2 linked regions of the Caenorhabditis elegans genome follow. The protein of the gene in region 1 interacts with the protein of each later gene in a pairwise test. Each region holds a gene or a part of one and is shown on either strand. Other genes may lie near its edges.

What was found.
Region 2: the proteins of rgs-7 (region 1) and lmn-1 interact in a two-hybrid assay, tested with the Caenorhabditis elegans proteins (2 studies listed by BioGRID).

What each region holds. Positions count from the first base shown.
Region 1 is NC_003284.9:3,540,735-3,544,658, forward strand, and holds the start of rgs-7 (C2 domain-containing protein), read left to right. Parts: upstream 1-1,813; 5' UTR 1,814-1,896; coding exon 1,897-1,939; intron 1,940-2,017; coding exon 2,018-2,132; intron 2,133-3,924. UniProt on the Caenorhabditis elegans protein: Inhibits signal transduction by increasing the GTPase activity of G protein alpha subunit egl-30 (G-alpha(q)), thereby driving it into its inactive GDP-bound form.
Region 2 is NC_003279.8:8,761,273-8,765,196, forward strand, and holds the start of lmn-1 (Lamin-1), read left to right. Parts: upstream 1-1,768; 5' UTR 1,769-1,783; coding exon 1,784-1,881; intron 1,882-1,970; coding exon 1,971-2,055; intron 2,056-2,103; coding exon 2,104-2,217; intron 2,218-2,372; coding exon 2,373-2,606; intron 2,607-2,658; coding exon 2,659-3,699; intron 3,700-3,783; coding exon 3,784-3,912; 3' UTR 3,913-3,924. UniProt on the Caenorhabditis elegans protein: Major component of the nuclear lamina, a fibrous layer on the nucleoplasmic side of the inner nuclear membrane. Provides a framework for the nuclear envelope and probably also interacts with chromatin.

The sequences.
Region 1 (3,924 bases):
CGTTTTTTTTAAACTTCATCTGTTGCTCTGTTGACAATTATCCATATCATGTCACTAGGCCACATCCCCTTTCTTGATTTTCAATTTGTTTTTTTTTTCAATAATGCTCATCGTAGCTTAGTTGCCTGAACAGTCTTTCATTTGTCTTAAATTTGACTGATGGTGTCAGACAATTGAAGAAGTATCAATAAAGTTGAATCAACAGTAAAGGAAAGTCTCCAAGCTATTTGCCAAGGCCATAAATATCGCGTCCGCGATCGTGGGTCACGATGGCAGGTGTTGAGGGGGGAAAGACGCACATACACACATACAAACGCTAAATGGGTCCCCTCTCCTCAATTGCCGGTCAGAGGAGACAGCCAGGAAAGAAGGAAGACACAGACGAACACTCGCCGTTCTGTGTCTCTTCTCTCTACTCACGTTTGAATTGTTCACCGGCGGGAACGCTCATCATTCAAATTTGAAAAGCTATTTTATCTAATTTCTTAGCTTTTCAAGGTTTCAAACTAGTTTTTTCGTATGTAATTTTGTTCGTTATAAAATTGACCTCATCTGCAAGTGAGTCACTAGTAAAATTTACTTATCATTAAGGTGTGTTTATTTACGGACTATTGATTTTCCATAATTGGATTTCCGTCATCTGATCAAGGCCAGAAAAACTAGTAATCGAGAGTTGAAAACTTATTAGTCACGTTTCACTGGGTGTCTAGGTTAGGGAATGCGCTAAACAAGTAGTTCTGTAGAACGTTATCTGGCACAGTATTAATCACATATTATCTACAAGTAAAAAACATAATGGTTCCTTATCAGTAAGCCTAGACAATTAGATTATCATACAAAATTACTTATATTCCGTCTGCAAAGTTCTGCGTTTTTCCCAACCACTAAATCACCAAAAAATCTAAAACTTTCGGCCATATTTTTCATTGAAACCATCTGGCAGTGAGTCGAATGTTATAAGTTCAGTCTTTTTTTTTCTATTTTTTCTGTCTCTAAGAATGTAAACTCTAGATGTTGTCAGTAAAGATTTTATGGTTTCGATTTGTAACCTAAATATTACGCAACCACCTATCGACACCGACAAACGGAGTAGCGGTTGTTCGCACCATAAATTTTGTCAACTACTCCTTGTAACTTCCTTTCCTTCACCTTCACTTGTATTTGATCTCATAAACTTGCGGGTCATTTGCTATTTAGTTCTGCCTTACTACATGGATTTCTTTCGGAAATGGTTTTTTGTTCCGGATATTTTTTGTTTCATTAAAAGAGTACATTCGATTTTATAATATTTTTTAAAACTAGAAAACAATTTATTGTTCTGAATTTCAAAAAAAGCTATGATTTCCTGACTAAAATCTTGGGGCTTTTCGAAGTTTTCTCTTTTCCAACGGCTGGTAAATTTATTTAAAATTAATTTGGTTATCCATATTTTGCACTTTCTCGTAATTAATTCTTTTTTCTGTTAAAGGCCATACATTTTGATAAATTTAACTCAACTTTTTTTAAAGACGGTACTTTTCTATTAAGTTTTTTATAGCTAACTTCATTTGAAATCTACAAAATTGAAGTATTATAGTTCTTAGTGTTTTAGAATAAATTGTTTGTTTTTATTCTTTTTCGGAACAAGTAAAATTTCCTCATACATAAAATAGTGTTTCAGTCAATCAATAACATAAGATGGATTAGTTTCTATGCTGAGCCGTATAACCCTAGCCTAAAATGACACAACGTTTTCTCCTTCGTTGCCGTTTATGAATCATTTTTCTCTCTCAATTCTCCTTCTATTGCTGTTCCAATTAGTATAGTTTCACTCAGATGGAAAGTCAAAATCGAAGAATCAAGCTCAATCTACACAAATATAAAACGGCCGGAGTCCAGCAGTACAGCATTGACAAGATGTCAGACGAGGATGCAGACGAGTATGACGATCAATCATCGAGTAAGTTGCTTTGTTGCAAACCTGAATGCTCCAGATGTTTGCTATTGTTATTATGACTATATATCTGATTTTTTCCAGTATCGTCAGTGTCGGACGACGACGACTTCTCAGGCTCCGAGTCGGAAAGCTATCAGGACACGACTGAATCCACTGGACCTTCGGAAGCTACAACTGACGAGATGCTGTGGGGAAGGTGAGTTCTTTTAAATGTTTTCAAAAGTTGATATTAGATACTTTTGAAAAAATGTGCTGAAAATTATAAAACGTATTTTAAAATCACGAGAGAAAAGTTTCAAAAAACGTGACAAGTTTGCTATCCTAAAAATTTTCTCAAACGAATTTCGAATACGTTTCACAAATTTCCGCACAATTGGTTTCTGTCACTTTTCAGAACTATTTTATTTATTTTTCGCTTGATAGGTTTTTGCTTCATAGTTCAGTATACTGTTGCTTTGCCCGGATCCCAGTTCATATTTGGTCGTTCTCAGAAAGTGTATTTTTTGAGTAATTTTTTAATTTCCCTTTTAAATCTAAAATTCCTCGAAATCGAAAACTACCAAAACTAATAGACCATAGAAGATTCTTTTCAAATTTTCATCCTCTGAAATTTTTATTTAATTCATCAATTTTAAAAGTTGCATTAGTACAAGTTTGATTAGTCCAATTGCTGATTTTTTCCTAATGGGAGACAGTTCAATTAAATGCGCTCTATTGTACACCTCGGTTCAAACAAACGAGGCATGTATGTGTTGACCATGCACACTACATACTGGTTAGCCTCTGGTGTACGAACGAACGCATTGCCCCATCCCAGTCGGCTGCTCTGTTACGCTGACCGTAAAATACTAGAGTTAGAAAGGAAGAAAGAAAGGACAATAGTGATTTGACAATCCGAACATTCTCAATTATATCAAATCTGGTTCGAATGATCAAAAGAAGCAAAAATTAACAACATTGATTTTGTGAAGAATGTAGAAAGTACCCTTAGACACTTTTCTTCAAATATGCAAAAAAAAATTAAATTTTTGCGCCCAATAAGAACATTTATTTTCACATTTGAAATGACAGAAACGCGTAGTAGTATTTGAGTCGGTATCACTGACCTGATTCATCCACTTAAATGCCCATTTTCGTCGTCAAATGTTTGCTTAAAAATATCCGCGCCTTTTCAAGTGAATCAATTGAACTTCTCTCAAAGTTTTTCTTGTTTGGCGTGTATACAATGTCATGAACGCACAAGTTTTGGATTTCCGGCAATCGATCGATTGTTAAAGGCTACAATAGCATAGGTGATTATTAAACGAGTCCCTCTATAATTTCCACAAGATTTACGACAACCGTTCCGTTAATGTGACCAATCGAAGAAAACCAAAATATCCTGTATTTTCTGTAGACGTTTTATGATTTAGAGGTTTCTGTTTTAGTTTCTGTTCTTAACATTCTAATTGGTCACCGATATCTCTGTCATTTTCTGATACTATGAGTTTTGAATTTTTATACTAATAATTAAATGTTTCTAAAATTTCTCTTACAAAATTTTTACTTTGCCCATCCGACATTTCCCCAGTAATATGTATAGTTTTGAGTATGTTCGCATAATTGCAAATTACGTTGGATGTCGAGTTACCGTGGTTTGATTTTCAGTTGCGCAACGCCACGAATAGCCCTCTACCCCCGTGGCTGCTGGAACGTCAGGGGCACTAAAACTTGCGCAAAAACTTGTTGCGTATCACATTTGATGCTCTGCATTGATGTGTGTTATAATAATTTGTACATCATCATCACCAGATGACGCCTAGACTCGACGCTGCCTAGAGACTTCCAGGTTGATAAGCAAAACAGTGTTTTGTAGTGCTTAAAGTGAAAAACTACGTAACAATAATTCAGAATTTTGATAATCCGGCATATATATGTAACTTTAAAATGTTGTGAATAGTTTTATAACCAAACATCATAAATACTCTAAAACGTTCATAAAAATATCA
Region 2 (3,924 bases), on another chromosome or scaffold:
TCAATTGTTAATCTGCATATTACCAAGAGACATGTTTTGCCCAAGTTCCTCTCACATTTAATCGATTCTCTTGTTTTTTCATTTCAATCTTTTTAGGGATCAAATGTGTTTTAGAGATGCAGGTGTCTAGAGAAAATTGTTTTCCTACTCTTTCATTTCGTATTCTTTTCATTTCACCAAACTTCTCTCTCGCGGCTAATCTCGCCTTCATAATAGAAATTTAGCTTCTAATTTTCGTGCTATACTAATATTCTACCACATGGTCACATCAAATGAGATAAAAACTGTCAACGCGCCAAAATGACACTCTCCCATTGATTTATTGCCCTTTGTCTCTGTGCGTCGACGCTCTAGTGCTCTTTCCAGATGTTGTTTCCTTCTCTTCTCAGCCTCCTTCTCTAGAATTCATTCATTCTGTGTCAAACACCAAAGAAGAACGACATTGTCTTCTCTCACACAAGACTGCTTATGATTTCTCGCTTCCTTCATCTGGCTCTGAATATGTCTTTCAATGGTACATGTTTATTGTTAATCGCCGAGTTTCAAAATTTACACTATCCATATAAAAAAGCGGCAAAACCTCAAAATTTCAGATGTTTGACCACTTCTCTAATACTCTCATCATGCCTCTCCATTATTCGTTCTATTTAACCCTGTACTGGCATGTTGCCAAGTTGTGTATATGTATGTTGTTTACCATATGCACACGTCTTTCCTGCTTCTCTACTTCTCTAGTCATTGGGACCGTGAGCATAAAAAACGAAAGAAAAACTTGAAAATAGTGCGCGAAACGGGAGAGATCAGAGATGAAGGGGTACGCAGCGCTCACTCGCGCGACTAAAGAGAGAGCATTGGCCTGGGCCATTGCCCTTCGAAACAAGATCGAGCGTTTTTCATCGTTTTTGAACCCTCGAAACTCCTACATATCACCTCTCATGCAACTTTTTTACACTAATTTGTGTAATTTGATATCCTATCTTATAGTTTATCAGGTCATTTCTCTTTTGTAGTAGTCCGAAAGTTTTGATTGATCGAATTTCGAAATTCTCCCTAAATTTTCGAAATTTTGTTACTTTCAAATTGACGCGACATGGACGGTCAATCAAAACCAAACAAGTATGCGAGAAATTCCCTTTTCTCTCTTTTTCTCTAATCATTTCAGTCCCATCTGCCTAGTTCTATCGGCAATTTGTGGAAGTGCGCAGATGATTTTTGAAGGCGAGGTGATAACGCCCTGCTAAAGCATTCTTATTCACGAGAGTTTCAAAAAACTATTGAAACGAGGTAAATCTTAGTTGAGTATACCTTGACAATTGTAGTTCTTTGCCGAGTTGCCTAATGTTTGAATTCAACGCTACTTACTGACTATGTTTATGCTTTTGTTTACGTCACTCTCACAAATGTTCCTTATTTCTCTACTATATTTCTTTCTGTTGAAACATTTAAAAAACGAAACAACACACATCTATGTGGAATACTGCCATCTGCCGATTTTGAGGTCACTTGGCGCGCCGTAACTCGCAAATAACCTAACAGCGCCAGATTTTTCGACAAACACACGCTTTCCGAAGTGGTATACACAACGGCCGTGTCCGCATGTTTGCCACACTTCTTTTGAGACAGAAAACTTTTGTTGTATAAAAATTTTATCACAAGAAATATCAAAATGTTGAGTCACGTTCGTGTGGCGCCTATGACGTTTCCTCTCTTCTCTTACATCTCTCTTTGTCTATTTCTGAAACTAAATCCAATATAATTAACTCTTCAGAAAGCAGCGAGAAAAATGTCATCTCGTAAAGGTACTCGTAGTTCTCGTATTGTTACGCTAGAGCGCTCAGCGAATTCGTCGCTAAGCAACAATGGAGGAGGCGACGATTCATTGTGAGTTTTTATTTTGCTTCTCTAGTTCCTGCACTCATAAACGCATTTCTTGTGTTATCTAAAAAAAAACTCGATGAAATGCTTTTCAGTGGCTCAACGCTTCTAGAAACTTCACGTCTTCAAGAGAAAGATCATTTGACTTCACTCAACAGTCGTCTTGCCACTTACATCGACGTGAGTTTTAATTTGGAAAGTATTCATATTTGAAAGTACACTTTTCAGAAAGTTCGTCAATTGGAGCAAGAGAACAACAGACTCCAGGTTCAAATTCGCGACATCGAAGTTGTTGAAAAGAAAGAGAAGTCAAACTTGGCCGATCGCTTCGAGGCGGAAAAGGTACACTTTGTTTATATTCTGATCGCCAAAGGTGTTCTGTGGGAAACTGATGCGGTGGTCTTATTATTCTCGCCGCGGTAAAGTAACAATGCAAATATAAGCTCTCGTTTTGGACGAATGATAAGTGTTGGAATATAGATTATTTGTATTTTCAGGCTCGTCTCCGTCGTGCCCTCGATTCGGCTCAAGATGAGCTCGCAAAATACAGGATCGAGTATGACGCTGCAAAGGTTGAAGTAAAGAAGTTGAAGCCACAAGTCGAAAAACTTGAGAGAGAACTCGCTGGAGCTGAGGAACAAGCCCTCCATGCCCAATCTATTGCTGATCAAAGTCAAGCAAAACAGAAGACGTTGCAGGCACGCAACGATAAATTGGTGGTGGAGAATGATGTAAGAAATTTTAATTTTATCAAAAGTAAATGTTCAATTTTGTTGTTTTCAGGATCTCAAAAAGCAGAACATCACTCTTCGTGACACCGTAGAAGGACTCAAGAAAGCCGTTGAAGATGAAACTCTTCTCCGAACAGCCGCCAACAATAAAATCAAGGCTCTGGAAGAAGATCTCGCTTTTGCTCTTCAACAGCACAAGGGAGAACTTGAAGAAGTTCGTCACAAGAGACAGGTCGACATGACAACCTACGCCAAGCAGATTAATGATGAGTATCAATCTAAGCTTCAAGATCAAATCGAAGAGATGCGTGCTCAGTTCAAGAACAATTTGCATCAAAACAAAACAGCTTTCGAAGATGCCTACAAAAACAAGCTCAATGCTGCTCGTGAACGCCAAGAGGAGGCTGTATCCGAAGCAATCCATCTTCGTGCCCGTGTTCGTGACTTGGAGACATCAAGCAGTGGAAATGCTTCGCTCATCGAACGTCTTCGTTCAGAGCTCGACACTCTGAAGAGATCGTTCCAAGAGAAGCTCGACGACAAGGATGCTCGAATTGCTGAACTTAATCAAGAGATCGAGCGCATGATGAGCGAGTTCCACGATCTTCTTGATGTTAAAATCCAATTGGACGCCGAACTCAAGACCTACCAAGCTCTCCTTGAGGGTGAGGAGGAGCGTCTCAATCTTACTCAGGAGGCGCCACAAAACACTTCAGTTCATCACGTCTCGTTTTCATCCGGAGGAGCAAGCGCTCAGCGCGGAGTGAAGCGTCGTCGCGTTGTCGATGTAAATGGAGAGGACCAAGACATTGATTATCTCAACCGTCGCTCCAAACTCAACAAAGAGACTGTTGGCCCAGTTGGAATCGACGAGGTTGATGAGGAAGGAAAGTGGGTCCGTGTTGCAAACAACTCTGAAGAAGAACAATCCATCGGAGGATACAAGTTGGTGGTCAAAGCTGGAAACAAAGAAGCCTCCTTCCAATTTTCATCTCGTATGAAGCTCGCTCCACATGCTAGCGCCACCGTTTGGTCTGCGGATGCTGGTGCCGTTCACCACCCACCAGAAGTCTACGTTATGAAGAAGCAACAGGTTGGTCAATTATTTTAAAATATTTCTGTCTTACTTTCATGAATAGAAGAAACAAAAAATGTTCATTGTAATTACAATTTTCAGTGGCCAATTGGAGATAACCCATCAGCTCGTCTTGAGGATAGTGAAGGAGACACTGTTTCTTCTATCACCGTTGAATTCAGCGAATCATCGGATCCATCGGACCCAGCCGATCGTTGTTCCATCATGTAATTGAGAGTCGAT